2 linked regions of the Rattus norvegicus genome follow. The protein of the gene in region 2 purifies or fractionates together with the protein of the main gene of each other region. This does not show direct contact. Links are inferred from orthologs where the notes say so. Each region holds a gene or a part of one and is shown on either strand. Other genes may lie near its edges.

The links.
Region 1: the proteins of Jup (region 2) and Dsg2 purify together in Homo sapiens (affinity purification with western blotting; 3 studies listed by BioGRID and IntAct, with this or other methods). This does not show direct contact. The link is inferred for Rattus norvegicus from reciprocal best matches to the Homo sapiens genes JUP and DSG2.

Annotation. Positions count from the first base shown.
Region 1 is NC_086036.1:12,156,353-12,165,158, reverse strand, and holds part of Dsg2 (desmoglein-2 precursor), read right to left. Parts: coding exon 8,796-8,806; intron 5,454-8,795; coding exon 5,311-5,453; intron 5,028-5,310; coding exon 4,800-5,027; intron 2,684-4,799; coding exon 2,456-2,683; intron 883-2,455; coding exon 761-882; intron 1-760.
Region 2 is NC_086028.1:85,822,239-85,831,631, forward strand, and holds the start of Jup (junction plakoglobin), read right to left. Parts: upstream 5,192-9,393; 5' UTR 4,806-5,191; exon of another isoform or gene 4,733-4,805; intron 2,102-4,732; exon of another isoform or gene 2,021-2,101; intron 1-2,020. UniProt on the Homo sapiens protein: Common junctional plaque protein. The membrane-associated plaques are architectural elements in an important strategic position to influence the arrangement and function of both the cytoskeleton and the cells within the tissue.

The sequences.
Region 1 (8,806 bases), on a different chromosome or scaffold from region 2:
GCTCTCTGTCTTCAACCGTCACACTACAACATCCACACGGGTTCCTGCGACCTTGAAAGGTATGGTAGGGCTTCTTCCTCACCAGCAAGCACGTGGTCAGTTTTGCAGTGGGTCCAATTTCATTGTGACACTGTCAGATCTTACAGATGTAGGGCTCAGTGCTACAGACATTGCTACTTCCTAGATCCCAAGGACGTTAAGAGTCAAGTGCCAGCTCTTAACGTATATATTTCACAATGTAATGGCTGTGTCAGTCTTTCATGACGAAAAGTGTTGCCAACACCCTCTAAGTAAGACACCTTTAAACTCTTTTTTTTTTTTCTTTTTTTTCGGGGCTAGGGATCGAACCCAGGACCTTGTGCTTCCTAGGCAAGCGCTCTACCACTGAGCCAAATCCCCAACCCCAAAAATATTCTTTTTTTTAAATTTTATGTTGCTGTCTTTAGACACACCAGAAGAGGGCATCAGATCCCATTACAGATGGTTGTGAGCCACCATGTGGTTGCTGGGATTTGAACTCAGGACCTCTGGAAGAGCAGCCAGTGCTCTTAACCACTGAGCCATCTCTCCAGCCCCACCTTTAAACTCTTAACAGGAGCTGGTGGTTTACACCTGTAATCCCCACACTTGGGAGTCTAAGGCAGGAAGATTGCTTTGAGTTCAAGGCTAGTCTGAGTTATAGAGTGAGATTGTCCAAACTCCCTATGTCCCCCAATAAAGTCAGACCAGGAGCAGATCGCATCACTGTCTGCGGGCTGACCTTGTCCTCGGGTGGTGCCCCTTCATTGTTCCAAGGATGCAGCATCTCTATGGTCCCGGGAATGGGGGCGAAGCCTTTGGCGCCCTCTCCACAGTGGCACATCAACAACAAGAGCGGCACCACTGTACAAAGCAAAGGGGAGTCAGGTTATTCACCAGCTAATCCCACGTCACTTAGAATTCACATCTGACTTCTCCAAGCCCATGCTTCCCATATTTGCAGTCTTATCTTTCTGTTTTCTGTCTTTTCCACTCTGACCCAACCTTTCCAACCTTGCTTCGGTTCAATTGCACCAAAGCCCGGAGGCAGACAGAGTCCTCTGACTCCAAGGTCTTCCTTATCACAGAGAGCCTATCACTGGCCTCCGAGCAGAATGTGGTGACTGGATGAGATCCTTTAAACCACTGTCTCCAAAATTATTTTTGTAAGACCACGGTCTCAAAGATAAGTATCAGAGTGATCAAAAGCAGCCAGGAATGGCAGCACATGCCTGTGATTTCCCCAGTATGTAGCAATTTTTCCATGCTTGGGAGGCTGAAACAGGAGGATTGCTGTGAGTTTGTGGCCAGCAGGACCTACAGAGTGAAACCTTGTTTCTAAAGCCCCATTCAAACAAAACAAGATAAAACATGCATGCATGCATGTGTGTGTGTGTGTGTGTGTGTGTATGCTCTAGTGCATGACAAACACACACACACACACACACACACACACACACACACACACACACACACACCTGGGAGAAAAAAAAAACCAGAATAAAACATCAACATATTCTAGACCATCTCAGAGTGGGGCTTTGTATAAGTTCTGACTCTCTGGTCCTTCACTTTTGACTTACCCGAGCACCATTTTCTTTTCTTTGCCTGCATTTATTTATTTACCAATTAATTAATTAATCAATCAGATAGGGTATTACATAGCCCAGGCTGGCCTTGAACTCAGTATGTAACTGGGAAAGATCCTGAACTCCAGACCCTTCTTCCGTCACTTCCCGAGTTCTGGGGTCACCGATGATCTGCACAGCATATCTGATTTTATGGAATTTGGAGGTTGAGCCCAGGCATGCCACATAAACAGGACCAATGGAGCCACACCCCCAGCTCCTAAGCACCATTGTTAAAAATCAATAGTAGTCAAATGTCATGGGCTGAGTGCCAGGTTAGACTTCGGGGAAGCTGGGAAGAGAGGGCGTGGAATTCCTGGGTAAAAGATGCACGCCCGAGTCGACGGTAAGTCAAGTCAGTCACAATCAAACAGAGCTGGTGGGCTGGAGGGCCCTGTAGACCTTTGCACTGAACTAGACACCTGTAAGTGTCTTTAATAGGCTTCTCCTCTTTGCGTGGAGATAGCCTGGGGTGTCTTGGAGGTGGTACTCTGCCCAAGTTCAAGTACAGTGCAACTACAGGGCAGAACGGAGGGCAGGCAGGACTAGCTGGACACAGCTTGTTAGCGTGAGGGCACACCGAGGTGCTTAGGAAAGGGTTGACCGCAGTGGGTTAGCAGAGGCAAGCCGAGCAGCCAAGAATGGGGACAGAGGAGACGCAATGAGTTGAGCGCGCGAATCACGCTTGGATTGGAATAAACGTTTGTAAAAACAACCTTATAAGCACACGGCGCACGGCTGTGGCAAGTCCTTTCTGAAGACCTAGTAAACTCGTCAAGGCACTGGGAATACAGGCTTTGAAGACTTACGCAGCAGAAGCAGGAGAGCCAGAATCATGAGGGCGATCGCGGCGGGGCCCAAACCGACGTAGTTGTCATACAGCGCAGCCACACAGCCACCGCCCTCCAGACACTCGCACACGGTGAGCTGGAGGACTTGCCTCTCCAGGCAGCTGAAACCCTGGCTGTCGGAGATGAGGAAGGGAATCTCACTTCTCCCAAGCTTCCGCTCGCTTGGCTGCAGCAGCACACTGGTACCTGCCAGAGAGGAGACGCAAGAGAATGGAAACGGGCGGCTGTTGAGGGAAGAGAAATGAATCCGTGGAAAGGGTCTTAACGCGGCCCAGGTGGAAGCTTTATTTCTCCCACCTCCTCCGGGCGCCCATTCTCTGTGTTCACCAAAAATGTGTCCACAGATTTCAAAAGTTTAACTAACAGAAGGTTGGGGTTGGACACAACTTTCATGATGATTCGATTAGCTATTGTGTGTGGTCTAACAAATGCTAGGAACTGCCACCACGTGACACGCTCCAGTCAGTGGGGATGCAACCATACACGAGATGTCATTTCTGTGAATAACATTTTCATTCGATGACACTTATATTACCAATTATTAAAAAAGAAGCTATCAAAGTAGTTTTTCAATGTAGCAGAAACTGATGTCACCCCCAGTTTTGATACTTTTCAGGATAAGCCTGTCTTATTTTTATCTTGGTCTTTTTATTTTTATCTTGGTCTTTTCTGTTTTTTTGATAATACCTTCTCTCTATACCTACTGTTTTGTTTCTTTTTGTGAAAAAGTTTGGTAATGGCATTTCATGTTATTTAAACGAGCATTGTAATACGGTGAGAGACACATGAAAAAAGACAAAGTAAGTAACAGATGTGAGCACCGGGAAGTTGAGGCAGGACAACAGCAGAGTTTGAGGCCAGCACAGGCAACAGAGCGAGATCCTGTCTCAAAAAACAAGCAAATAGAAACAACAACAACCCCCCCCCCCAAAAAAAACAATAAGGGAATTTTTGAAGTTGTATCTCGAAAGAAGAAAGAAAGTTACATTTGTTTATTTAGAGCAGACCTGGTTCTATCTGTGTTCCAGTGTCACAGTCAGTATGTGGAGGTTAGAGGCAGGTCCTGGGTGTGGAACTCACTAAGCAGGCTTGGCCGCAAGGACCTTTACCCACTGGGATGTCCTGCTCACATTATTTCTTTGAGACAGGACCTTGCTATAGAGAACAGGTTAGTCTGGAACTTGATGTGTAGTCAAGGCTAAGCTCAAAACAATCCTCTCGCCTCTGCCTCCCAGGATCTCACTAAAATTTTGAGAGCCATTTGTATATGTGTATTATGCAAAAAACAAACAAACAAACAAACACCGAACCGAAACAAATGACGTTAATAAATAATAGAAAAACCAAACGAAACCTTTTTGTGAATTATTTTAAGGTAAACAATAGAACAGTCGCTGATAACTGCATGGTAGGCCTTTCTGAAATGAACACTGCTTGCTAAAGAGTCTTCTGGGTAGAATTTTCTGCATTGGAGACTGTCCCAAGGACACCCAAAAGATCACACCAAGAAGAGGACTACGTGCAAGATACAGGCGTTTGACTGCACCTACGGCACCGGCTCAGACCCTTTGCCAGATCGTCTCTGCCACAAACTAGTTCTGTGCCTTTCAAGAAGTTGCTACACCCCAGTTAGGCCAGCATCCTAGCCCACCATCGGGAAATAGTGTTACTGAGCAAGGATTAAATGAGACAGTGTATGCAGAAGGCGTGATACCCAGTACATGCTCAGTAAATGTGATTTTAAACAGGACTGTTAGGAACACGCTTCACAACACATAACTGTTACACACGGCAAATCTCTAGTCTCTTCAGCTTGTTAAGACAGAAGCACTTGAAAAGATACTTGGAGAAAACCCAACCTCCCTTAAGACAAGCTAGATCGTTTTAAATATCCACAGGTCCACAGCGCTAAGATACAACTGTAGGTTTAGAGTTTAGACCCTCATTTTATTTCCCTCTTAAAGCCTACACTAGGGATGCATTGAAGCACGATTTGAGAGAAGACTCATGGTTTATATTACCATCATGACTACTATTTTTGATACAGGGTCTCACTGTGGAGCTTGGGGGATGGGGAGCTGGAACTTCTGATGTAGACTAACCTGGCCTTGAACTCACAGAGCTCTCATGGAGGGCTGTGTTCTTCCTCCCAGCACTGGGAATTCTTTCACAGTGTGCCCACTATGCCTGGACTAAAACTGTACTGAAAGTTATACTGGAAATACAATTTGGGAGAAGAAACGGCCTGTTGTAAACTCTTACTTATCAATCATGCTTACTGTCTAGATGTTGATGCACTTACTTTCTTGGTGCGTGATTTTCCACTTCTGTGCCGTTCCGGGAGGCTGGTCAATGATGGAGAAGGTGAATGGCCCACTGTTCCGGGGTCCATCCAAGTCTTCCGCAGTGACGTTCACATACGGTGCATCCGCACAGACACTCCGTACTGAGTCCACCAGTACGGGACAGTTGTCATTGACGTCTTCAACATTGATAAGGATGGTGCCAGTGACGGTTTTTTGAGGGTGACCTTGAAAGCAAGCAGGAGAGAGTTCAGACTCTGAGTGCATCACCGACCATAGACACAGGTCAGTCCAGAAGCCAATCAGATAAAGAGTGGGTGCTAGGCATTGGGATAACCCCCACAGCTGGCTCTCAGGTTCCTATCAGTGCGAAGTCACAAAATAAGCAAAAATGGGCAGGCGCACTGACGAGATGAGCCCTTTATACACAGTCAGAACAAACACTTCTGGTGGCGGAAGTTAAAATCTAAATGCATTTAACCACGAAAACCATGTGCTTATTTGACTTACCTTTGGATATAGCGACAACCTTTACAGTGTAGGTGCCATTCTGGACGTGTCGAGATTCAAAGTCGGGAATCTTTACCAGCTTAATCTCTGAAGTTTCAGAGTCCACAGAGACCCAGTTGTCGGTGTCTTGCACTTTTACGTACCTGTTACAAAACAAACGCCAGGTTCACTTTTAGTTCTGGATACATTGGAGCTAACATCTGTACCTCTTGTAGAGTTAACTTTATCCCAGTACCCTGGGTTTGAATGTCACAAGGCAGGTGGGGTAGGCTTATGCTATATAGTCTACTGAGATATTGTCAGAATGTAAAAATTACAAAAAAAAAATTAGCGGTTGACTTAAATGGAAGGAATTGAAACATGGTATAGGGTTAGGAATGAAGACTCTCAAGAAGAAATGATTTAAAATGAAATCATTGAGCTCCTGAATCTTTTTTCTCTGAAATCAAGGAAAATCAAAGTGGAAAGCAGAGAGTAGATGCTCTTACCGGGTTTTCAGAATTATATACAGTGAATACTACTGCGCTTAACACATAAAAATACAAACACAAGCCCAACGCATGAGTGTCTTGGTTCAGCCAATCACATCGATAATTTATTTTCTACGAAGTAGCTATTTAAGCGCACAAGACCGGGTGTCTGACTTAGAGTGATATTTGTGCACAGTATTTGGGGGTAATCCAATTATATCCTTGAACTACATTTTAATGCCTCTCATTATTGTCTGTAGTAAATAATTATAGAGGGAAGCAAAAGTAGGACCAGGAGTTCAAGTTCATCCTTGGCTACGCAGTGAGTTCAAGGCCAGCCTGGGCTGATGATATCATCTTAATAAACAAACAATAAAACTAGAAAAAGCAAATGGTAACACACTTGGATTTTCACAAGTACTTTTGAATGTCAGGAATTCTAAAGTAGGTGTTGATCGTCTGCCCCATTTTCCCATTTTCATAGCTCTTATGTAATAAGGTCATCTAAGCAGTAAATCTACGTGTCCCAATGGATGCATTAGGTGACGTCACTCAAAGAGCTTTGCAACTAATCTGTTGTGGAACTCTGCTTCTAGGCTCACGCGGTGTCTCAAATACTGATAAATTACTGAGTGAATAATCAGTACGACACCACACTGACAACATTAAAAATATGGTTCTCGGGCTGGAGAGATGGCTCAGTGGTTAAGAGCACTGACTGCTCTTCCAGAGGTCCTGAGTTCAATTCCCAGCAACCACATGGTGGCTCACAACCATCTGTAATGAGATCCGATGCCCTCTTCTGGTGTATCTGAAAAATATGGTTCTCGGGGTTGGGGATTTAGCTCAGCGGTAGAGCGCTTGCCTAGCGAGCGCAAGACCCTGGGTTCGGTCCCCAGCTCCGAAAAAGAGAAAAAAAAATATGGTTCTCTTGCTGTCCTTATTAAGTTTTTAAAAAGGATTTTATTTTAATATTAAATTCTGTGTAAGTGTGCTTATGTGTGTGTGGATACATGCAGGTGGCCTCAGAGGCCAGAAGAGGGGGCCAGAACCTCTGGAACTGGAGCTATGGGGGATTGAGAGCCATGCAAGCAAGGTTCAGTTCCTCTACAAAAGAGCAAGGCTCTCTCCTGCTGAGCCGTCTCTCCTGATCTTCTTGAAGACTTCACTAGTTAAATGGTTAAATGATCTAACTAGCTCTGCCTCCCAGAACCCATGAAAATGCCCATGTGTGAGCCCTGGTCAAGGGTGCTCCCTTTCTAATGTTCCATAATGCACGCTAAAGAAAGGAAATAGGACTGCTTGGAGAAACAGCTTATCATCCTTCAAAGAACATGTACCATTTCGATGATAGTCACAGGCCCTGATAAAAATAGCAGCAAGATTTAAAAAAAAAAAAAGTCAGGAAGCCATTTTCAATTGGGTCATTATTAGAACACACAAGCTTCTCAGTGAATGCAGAGAGAAAGCGCACAGAATAGCATCCTGGGGAGTCAGGTAGGGGCTGCCATGTTAGGTAGGTAGCGCCATGAAGGCTAAAAGTAGAGACCGCCCACCTGGGAAGAGCAGCGTGGCCTCCCGCAGGCAACATCAGTAAAGATGGTCACGAGGAGATTCCAGGCAACAGTGGGCGATGCTTATTTATATGAAATTGGGAAAGAGTTATCTATTCTATGACTGATAGGTTCCACTAATGGAGACACAGATGGGAATGGGAGCACACAGGTGGGGAGCTTTCTCTGCCTTTCCCTCTGCCACAGTGGGCCCTGGTTTTAGATGAGGTGTTTTATGGGGCGCCAGCACCCAGGGTCACAGGCATATGGACACATGAGCAAGAGAGTATCTCGGCCACAGAACAGAAAGTCCCCCAAAGCTGTGTTTCAGCAGCCGAATAACCCAACCCAAAGAACTACACAGATAGCAGGTTTACATGGAGCTCTCCCACAGTGAGACCCTAGAGCTAAGACAGAGATTTACAGTGTACACTGGCACTATAGGCGGGACACAATGAAATCCTTTTAGTACAGTGACAATATCCACTCAGTTCTTAACAAACCTTCTAAGTAATGGCTGCTGGGATCAATACACACCTAAGCCCTCTGGAAAGGTGGCTCAGTGGTTAAGAGTGCTCAGTGACCTAGGAGAGCACCCACAGGCTGGCCCCCAGCTGCCCTCAACTCTGTGAACTCATGTGGTGCACAGACATTCAGTCAAGTGCATACACAAAAAAGCTCACCCCTTCTTGAACTAAATAAAATGGCCTGAATAAAGATAGAAAATATACAACATGTATTTGCACATAAAATGACTTCTCTTATATTGGAACATATATTGAAACAGTGTTTAAAAAAATGTGTTTGTAAAGTGGCATTTGTAGCAAGACTTTCTCTTCACTCACTTATTTGAGACAGGGTCTCCCTGCGTAGCTCAGCTTGGCCAGGATCTCAGAATTCCTCTGCCTCAGCCCCTACAGTACTGGATTACAGGCAGGTGCTGGCATTCTTAGCACGAAGTTAATCTTATCTACTACTTCTTTACGCCCTAGTGTGCTGGGAACGAGGGGAGTTTCCCAGTTATTTTCTGAGATGGTTTTCAGTCTTCTCTACTAGAGCTGATTCAGAGGTGACCTCCACCTCCACCTCCTACCTCCACCTCCACATAGGGGCTGAGGGGCTGAGGGGCTGAGGGGCTGAGGGGCTGAGGGGCTGAGGGGCTGAGGGGCTGAGGGGCTGAGATGTTGAGGGACTGAGGGGCTGAGATGTTGAGGGACTGAGATGCTGAGGTGCTGAGGGGCTGAGGGGCTAAGCGATGGCTATCGGGATAAATGCCCTCCTCCTTCCTTCAGTGACAAGCTCAGTTTGGAGGAACTGATTTCTCAGATTTTTGGCAAAGTAATCCTGGGGTGTGAAGGAATGAGCTGCTTAGATTTCACTATGAGTTTTAAAATTAGGCATTTCAGAAAACAGGTATGTTAGATAATTAAAACCCGGAAATACACTCACAACCATATCTTACGTTACATCAGC
Region 2 (9,393 bases):
AGCACCCTCTCTAATGCGGCCATCCAAAAGTTAAGAGGCCAGGAGGCTAGCACAAGCAGATAGTCAAAGAACTCTCTCTCTCTCCTCTCTCTCTCTCTCTCTCTCTCTCTCTCTCTCTCTCTCTCTCTCTCTCTCTCTCTCCAAACCTAGCCAGGAAGTTGCTAGAAAATGGGACAGTCAACCACGTCCCAAGACAAAGGCCTCAAGGTGTCTGTCATCTGCAGAGACACAAATCCCAGTGACCCATCCTGGTCCATCTCACTACCTTTTTCTTTCAGAGTTGCTGGGTCAGCCAGCTGCCAGATGCTAGTTTTCTATTAGGCCCTGTGGTCCTTCTTCCTAAAGTCCCCCAAAGAAGTTTCCTCCAAGGACTCAGTAGGTCTCAGACTGACTCTTCCCCTACAGGGAGTAACTCCTGAGCAAGGGTGGCCCTCTCCAGAGGAGACTCTACTGTGAACCTCCACCTGCTTCTCCCTTTGAAGGGAAGACCTCCCATCTGGGGCTGGAGAAAGGTCTCAGCAGTTAAGAGTGCTTAGGCTCTTGGAAAGGACCCAGACCAGTTCCCAGAACCCACATAGCAGCTCAGGGTCCTCTATAACTAACTCTGCCTGCTGAGGACCTGACACTGTCTTCTGGATACGAAGTCCTTTTTTCTGTTCTAGCCTCTTCTTTTCATAAGGACATCTGTGTGCCCCACCCACCCACCTTGTCCCTGTGGCCTCAGGGTGCTAGAAAGCCACAAGTCCATCCATCTCCCTGTGCGGTGTGCTCTGCCAGAATGACTCCATTCTCCATCTGTGCTTAAGTCAAGGCTCCTGGCTGAGGGCTCTCTTCGCTAAGATCAGTAATCATGCTGTGGTTCCGTCCGGAATCTTAAGATCCGGTAGTAAGAGCCTCAGTCTTCAGGATGTACCAGTGCGCAGGCTCAGCCTAGCCCCAGGTTCCCACTCCCAGGCCCATTCTGGAGCCAGGTGCTGGGTTGGCAGAGGGGTCCAAACCAGTCATACCTAAGAAGACCTTGCACCACCAAATCCTCCCTTGAGGACTAGGGCTCTGGCTGACAGGCACCAACCTCCCCCCCCACAACCCCTCACCCTACTCCCACAGAAAGGCCCTCCTGTAGAGGTTTTCATTGCCTAGATGCTAGGGTCTCCAGACAGGACAGGGCAGTAGAAAACTCCTCTCCAGGCAGCCTGGCTGTGCTAACTGGCATGCTCCAGCAGGACTCTCAACCCGAGCCTAAATCTGACTCATGTGTCTCCCCTGCCTCAGCCCCCGCCCATGCCCACTTAAACTTGGCAAAGCCCCAGACACTAGTTAGTGAAGCAGGTAGCTCCCACCTCCTATCCGGGGTCCAGCCTAGAAAGCTCTGAACCATGCTGTCCTTCCCTCTGGTCTCCCCTAACTTAGACCCTCTCAGCTCTTGGTCTGGAGGAGCTGCCTTACCACCTACCACAGCGACCAAGGCGAGCGGGCAGCCGGTGAGGCTTCAGAGTACTGGCAGCCAGGGGATGAGTCACTCCCACCTGACAAACCTGTCCCGCCTTCACCACCCCCACACGTCTAGCAGGGCTCTCCTAAATTCCCTTCTATCCTTGGAGCTGAGGCCCTCCAAAAGGGGCAGTAAAAAAACTTCCATTTAGGGATAAGAGGTAGCTTCCTTGGTAGAGCGGTCGCCTAGCTTATAGGAAGCCCTGGGTCCGACCCCCCAGCACGGTATAAGCCAGCTACAGTGCCGCATGCCTGTGATTCCAGCACTTGAGAGGTAGAGGCAGGAGGATGGCAAGTTCAAAGTCTGAAGAGTTGACAGATGGCTGATTGGGCTAAAGGGTGGAAGGAAAAAAAAAACTCCTGAAGGTTGTTCTCTGATCTCCACAGAGGTCTTGTGCATGCTCAGACACACAGGCACACACAACATACATACATACATACATACATACATACATACATACATACATACATAAAGATGATGATGATGATGAATGTTTTATAAAGTTTGCCTGGGCATGGTGGCACGCACCTGTTATCCCGGGGAGCAGTTTGAAACCCTCCCCTCTCCAGTCTATACAGCAAGTTCTAGGCCAGTCAGGGCTGCACTTTGAGACCCTGTCATCAAAAAGAAAGGAAGTAGTTCAAGGTCAACCTCAGAGGCTAGCCTAGGCTACAAGAGACTGTCAAGAAAGGACGGGGGGGGGGGGGGGCGGGTTGGGGATTTAGCTCAGTGGTAGAGCACTTGCCTAGCAAGCGCAAGGCCCTGGGTTCGGTCCCCAGCTCCGAAAAAAAAAAAATTAAAGGACAGTGGGGGGATACAACTTCCATCCAGGGCCGATGATGGATCCCATGGGAAAGTGCTTGCCTACGTGCAAATCCACAAGGCCCTGGATTTGGTCCTTAGCAGCCAAAAGAAAAAGGGGAAAGAAAAAAGAAATCCTTCCAGAGTTGTAGTAGAGCCTAACAGCAGAATGAGGTCTGAGCTTAGCCCTCTCTTGAGTCTAGCAACACTGGGCAAGTTGCTATCCTTCCCTGAGTTTCTGAAGAAGACATTAAAGTGCGCCTGCCTCGGGCTGGAGAGATGGCTCAGTGGTTAAGAGCATTGCCTGCTCTTCCAGAGGTCCTGAGTTCAATTCCCAGCAACCACATGGTGGCTCACAACCATCTGTAATGAGATCTGATACCCTCTTCTGGTATGTCTGAAGACAGCTACAGTGTGTTCATATACATAAAATAAATAAATAAATCTTTAAAAAAAAAAAAAAGTGCGCCTGCCTCTGTGAGCATGGTTAGTGGCGCTTGGTACCAGACAGTCTTCTGGCTTTGAGTTACCATCAGTCAAGTACTTTCTGGGTAGCTAGGTTTATTAATTCCTGAGGTCGCTGAGCCAGGAAGGTGCTTTGACGCAGGCTGCACAGGTAAGGAGACACTGCTCAGGGATTCAAACTATCTCAGTCCAAGTCCCTGTTCTCAGAGCTGACCCCTTAGACTGTCTCCCTAGATCACTGTCCTTCTGTGGACCAGCCAAATGTGTCACCTTGTCCTAAAGCAGCTCTGCAGGACGACAGGCCTCCCTCTCATAGGCAATGACCTGTGGGCCCCCAGGAAGGAAAACAGTCAAGCAGGCCCCGCCTGACCTTCCGTTCCCACAGGCTGCATTCTCCAAGCTCAACCTTAGCAGGCCAGACGGCGGCTCCAGAGGGAATGGGGTGGAGCTCGGGTGCGGGGGAGGCTTCTGTCACCCAAGCCCAGACTTGATCTGGTGAGAAATGACTAATCGGATCCTACCTTTGCTTCCCCTCCCTCCTGTCCGTCAGAAGCCAGCTTGGGCCGGGCAGCTCATAGCCCTACTTCTTCCTCAGTACTGTCTTTTCACCAGAGCCACGAACCAGATTTGCTAAACTATTCATTTAGTTCACCTAATGACAATGCCTACCCCTCCTCCTCCTTGACACGGAGAGGACATGAGCCTAAAACTAATGCCCCCAGTTCTTCCTAGAGGTGGTCACACATATTTTACCAACCACAGGACCTAAGGCGAGATTACGGGGGATATGTCTCCCACCCCCACTCTTCTATTCACAACCAAGCACCACCTCAGCTTCCAGGAGAATCAGAGCAAACAGTGCTCACGACCCCCACCCCATCTTCCCTCTGCCCCCCCCCCCCGCTAGCGTTGTCATTCCTGCTCTGTCCCCCCAAGAAGACTGGACTCCAAATGCCTATGAAAAGGCCAATCTTCAGATTTGTACAGAAGAGTGCAGCAAGCCGAGTAGAAGTTGACAATTCCAGCTGGAGAGGAGCTCTCAGCACAGGGAACCAAGGGGAGGGCTCACACTGTTCACCCTGAGGGTGCCTGGCATGGCAGAAGCCTTCCATAGCAAAGACTTCCTCCTGTCCCACTTTCCCCGCCAAACACTCAGTTAAAGAGTGGGTGGAGGAGGGACTTCTGGCAAGTCCTCTAGAAAGGACGCACCTTCATAATTCAAACCCAGTGAACAGCAAGCAACATTCCTGCCCTATGCTACCCTGCCTCAATGGTCAGCCAGCTAAATAAGCTGGGGGATGGAACGGGGGAGTTGGGGAAAGATTAATCACTCTTCCCAATCTTCCTAGTTTGGCCCAGCCCTGCCCCAACCCCATTCCTGGGGAAGGGGCAGAGCTTGGGAGGAGAGGCACTTAGCAGGCCTCATATAAGGGGGTGTGGTGGTCCCGTGAGGATGCGAAAAGGGAAGGAAGAAGACACTTCCCTTTTCAGCAACGCCCCCACCCACCCCCATTGGTCCCTACCTCGGGCCTTAGGGGCCTAGCAAACAGGATGGAGGTGGGGGCAGGGAGAACCGGGTCAAAGCGCACAGGCTGTGTTCAGCTTGGAGCTGACCAGGGAAGAGGCTTTCCTCTAAGAAGTACCACCAAGCCTTGAATCAGCTCTCAACAAGGAGACGGGGAAAATCCTAGAAAAGGCCCCCACGGTTACTTTCTCCTGGAAAGTTTGTTTGGAGTGATTTCTCAACAATAATGGGTTGCAGAAATCAAAAGATATCGCTGTTTCCCTACCAACACTCTGGAAACCACAAGCTACTAAAATCTGGGCGAGTGTTTCTTAATTTTCTCTACCGGCCCAGACTCCAGGCCATGCCACCAGGTCAGACAGACATCGGTAGGGCACTGAGCCCAGACCCTTCACCAGTTCCCCCGTCACCCCATCCACCTCCGTAAGAGAAGCCATAGACCGGCGTACACTAGAGCGGAGGGAGGCGCCACAGGTCCAGCTCGGAGCTACAGGGCAGGGCCTCGGTCCTCCAAGCGCTCACCTGCTCTGCTCAGCAGGTGGGAATCGCGTCTCTGGGAAAATGTGCACTCGGCCCCCACAGTTGGGTAAGCTGGGCGCAGACAATAGGGCCCCACCCAGGCCTGGGGGAGTAGGGAGGGAGGGAAAGCGAGGATGACGCGTGGGGTGGGGTGAGGGTGGCCCCAAAGAGACTAGGCAGCAAGTTTCCCGAGCGGTAAATTCCTGTCACCGTGGGATCTGGGACCAGGCGGAGCGGGTCAAAGTCTGCCCGGTCAGCTCCAGGGGAGAGTCAGCGACGCCGCGTCGGGCAAGCTCCGCGGGCCCTGGGGGAGGCGCGAACTCCGAGGCACCTGCCCTAGTTCCTCCCCGCCCTTCTCAGACCTGCGGTTCACCGAGCCTGGAGGGGCGCTCCAACCCAGATCGCTTGTCCCAGGGGTCCCGTGCCCCGGACCCCAGTGCGCCCCCTGTCGCTGGTGTAGGATGCACTCCCTGGCACCCGCCCTCACCTGCCCTGAAACCGCTGGAACCAACCTCTCGGCCGCTTGCCCTACTCTACCCTCAGTGATACGTACCCCTATCCGGTGTACCTGAGCGTGGAGCCGGGCCGAGCCGGGTCGGGGTCGGGTCTGGCCGGGAGACAGCCGGCGCAGGCAGCGAACTGAGCTCGGGGCGCTCGGGCGGCGGCTGCTCCGGACTCTGGCCAAGGCAGCAACTCAGTAACCGAACAAAAGGCAAAGGGACCTGACAGCCAAGCCACACCTCTCGCCCCCTTGAAGCTCCGCCCCCTAGGGAGACTCCCACCCTCTGAGGTTATCTCACTGGCTGCCCAGCCTGACTATCCTATTGAGGGGCGGAGCCTCACGCCGGGACCTCTACCACGGCCGCCTCTGTTTATGCGCTCACCATTGGCCCCAGGGACTGCCAGTCGACTCTGGGGTGGACGCCAACTTGAGGTCTCATCCTCACTCTGCATCTATTGGCAAATAGAAAGTTTCTTCCTTATGATTGGACAGAGGGCTGTCAGTAAGACTAAGGCAAAAGCCAATGGAACAGGTGGGGCGTTACTTGCCCCACCCTAGCCCTGAGCAGGTAAGACTCATTATTCTCCCCTTCCCCCTACCTGTCCAACAGGTGAGTCAGGGGGAAGCATGGGAAAGGACTGACGCCTTCACTAGCCAGCCAACTCAGCGTCAGGATTATTCATTCTTGCCTCAACATAGTAATAAGATGTTTGTAAAGCATTTCATAGGCTTTGTGCTAGGTTGGGATTTCTCCCCCTACAAAAGATGGAGTGTTCCCGGTTCTCTTCTGTTTAGAATTAGAAGGCCTGGTTTGGGTTCTCCCCTTAATCTTTGTATGACCTTAGGCCAGCTAGTATACTTTTCACCCTGTATCTAAGTGGGTTCATTAGCTTTATCTATCTTGGGTTGGAGAGATTAAATAAACTTTGTAGCTTAAACAGCTGAGGAATGTCAGTATTTAAGCCAGTGAGATGGTCCGTTCGAGACAGTTCTTAAAAAGTGCTGGAGCAGGCAGCCAGGCAGTGGTGACACGGGCCTTTAACCTTAACCTCGGCACTCAAGGAGGCAGAGGCAGGCAGCTCTCTGAGTTAGAGGCCACCCTGGTCTACAAAGAGGGTTCAAAATGATCCGCATTAAGAGAATCTTTAATGGGCTTGTGTGATGTCTCAGTTGGGCAAGTGTGATGACCTGAGTTTGATACCTGGTGGAGGTAGACCAAGTCCAAAAGGTTGTCCTCTGTCCCCTGATCTCCCGCCTTGGCACAAGTGCCACACACATAAAAGTAAATACAGTGTAATGCGATTTTAAAACTAAGCTCCAGAGATCGAAAGACTAGGAAATGTGGTGCACTGTAAACTTGGACACCTTATTTTAAGAACAGAATGGTCAGTATGTGTTTGTAGGGGTTCGGGCGGACGGTGGATACCTCTCCAGGGAGACACAGACAAAGCGATTCCGTCAAAGATTAAATCATGATGTAAAGAAGCTTTGGTGGGTTTGGGGGGGGGGTGGGGAAGCCAGTGGATGGAAAGAAAAGGAGCTTGGTTCTAAACAAAAGCGGGCAGCAAGCCCTCCATAGCGGGCAAGGCTGCTGAGCTATCCAAAAGAACTCAATAGGTAGCCTGAGAAGATGTGGGTATTTCTCCCTGCGGTTGATGACTACTGTAGCGGCTGCAACATGAACCAAGGGTCTGTAGGCATTCATTCGCTCAACGAGAGTACTGAGCACCAACTCTATGCTGGGCGCCAGTGTAGACTTTGGCTGCACAGATAATTAAAAGTACCCTAACTCTCAGAGAGCTTACAGAGTGGCAAGAGGAAACAGCTTGTGTGGGTGGGAGTTGGGGGAGTGGCTGTTTAGAAAAGAATTTCCTGAAAACACACGCGAGCGCGCGAGCGCGCGCGCGCGCACACACACACACACACACACACACACACACATACACACACACACACACACACACACACACACACATGCACGCACGCACACGAGAACTTATGGGCTAATATAACTCCAGATGAAGATATCCTAACAGTATCTTTGACCACATTACCCCAACAGAGAAAGGAACGAGGCTTAACTTGCTCTCTTCCATCCAGTAAGTCTTCCTGGAAGGGAGAGGAAGATTGCAGCATCCCTGATCTAGCTGTAGCTATGTATGTGCCAAGTTGCCAGGACCCCTCCACTCTGCTGTTTCCCTGCCAGCTTACCTGAGGGTCCTTATCTCTACCTAATCCATGCCCCCACCTGCCACTTGCCACTCTCCACAGTGATCATCCCAGACTCACTGTCCCAAGCTGCTACCTCTGCCAGGGTTCCACCTTCACCCATTCCTCCCACCCAGTCACACACCACTTCCAAGCTTTTCTCTGCTGCCTTTCTTCCTCCCTTCAGCCAACTCGCAGCAGGGGAAGGCTGGAGAGGGGAATAGACTAGCCTAGGTGGTATTGGAGGAAGGATTTGGGGCTTCTGGATAAACTCTGTGTGTCTGCAGAAGGGCACCCCTGCTTGTCTTAGCATGTAACAAGCCACACGGCACGTTGTTGAGGCCAAAGCTAAACACCACCCCCCAACCCCGCATGGAGGCTCCAATGTAGAAAACAGAGCCAGTTCCTCCCAGATGGATGGATTTCCTGTGTGTTTCTTAATCGCCTACTATGTGCCTGGTGCCTGCCAAGCACCAGGGCTTCATCTGCATCAGAGGATATGTAAAGGAATCAGAAAATAGTCGTTCCTGGAATCTGTTCTTTTGCATAGGGGATTTGATCTCCTGGAGGGAAGGGGGCACACAGGAGTGGAACTGGACATTGCTGTGACCCTGTGACCATGGTCTCCTTTGCACCTTGAACTTTAAGGAGAGGGCACAAGGGCATCTAACCCAATCTCCAGCTTCCCAGCCTTTAAAGGTAAGAATTTTTGTATTTGACAAATCTCCAAAAAAGGGAAATTCTTCAGTCTCCCTTATAGCAAACGGCCTTGTCTCCTTTTTTTCTGATAGTGGTGAGTTTCCTCTGATGTCTAGCTTCAACTTGTATCCCTGCAGCTTAACCTCATTTCCCTTGCCCGGAGCTCAGTAGGCATTAAATCCGTGGGCCACCAAGACGTATCTGATTAACTCAGCCTTGCAGCCTTTTGGAGCCTGAGAGTCGGGAGTAATGGAGCACCAACCAGCCCCATCCCAGGCTCCCCAGAGACAAAAGCCAATGATCAAGATTAGGGGGTGTGCGTTGGAGAACCTCTTTAAGGCAAAGGTGAACATCAATCAGATATTGTCCAGAGCAGTCAGGACGCCTCCTCTGCTTATGTCATTTCTTCCTCATACCTCCTTATAGGCCTCCGGGCCGTATAAGGAAGCAGGAGAGTTTCTGTTCTTTCTTCTTCTAATTATCGTATGTATGCATGATGAGGGTGGGTGTGCCATAGCTTGCCTGTGAAGGTCATACGACAGTTTTGCCAAGTTCAACAATTCCTGTCATTTCAAATGCGGGTTCTGGAAACTCAATTCAGGTTGCCAGGCATGCAGAGAAAACACCTTTACCCACTGAGCCATCTCACCAGCCTGTGTTTCTCTTCTTGGTTTGAACTTCATCTTTACGCCGTGGAGAGAGCCCTCCTGATGGACGGCTGTATTTGGACACACAGACGCACAGACACACAGACACACACACACACACACAGACACATACACGCACAGACAGACACACACACAGACACACACACATAGACACACACACACAGACAGACAGACACACACACACATAGACACACACACACAGACAGACAGACACAGACAGACAGACAGACAGACACACACACACACACACACACACACAGACCTTCGGCCTTTGAATCATGCAGGGGCTTCTGTTTAACACTGATAAAGAACAAATACAAACAGATGAAGCTGTTCTGGGCCGCTCTCTATTAAAGGCAATGTTAAAATCTAATGGTTTCGTGCTCATGCTTAGCTATCATTCCAGGTATAGAGCCATCCTTAGGCTAGGGGAAGAGACCTTCTGTTCCCAGTCTTAACCTTTAAAGGCTCCAACTTTTTATCTTTGACCTGACCTTCCTGAGGTTGAGTCTCT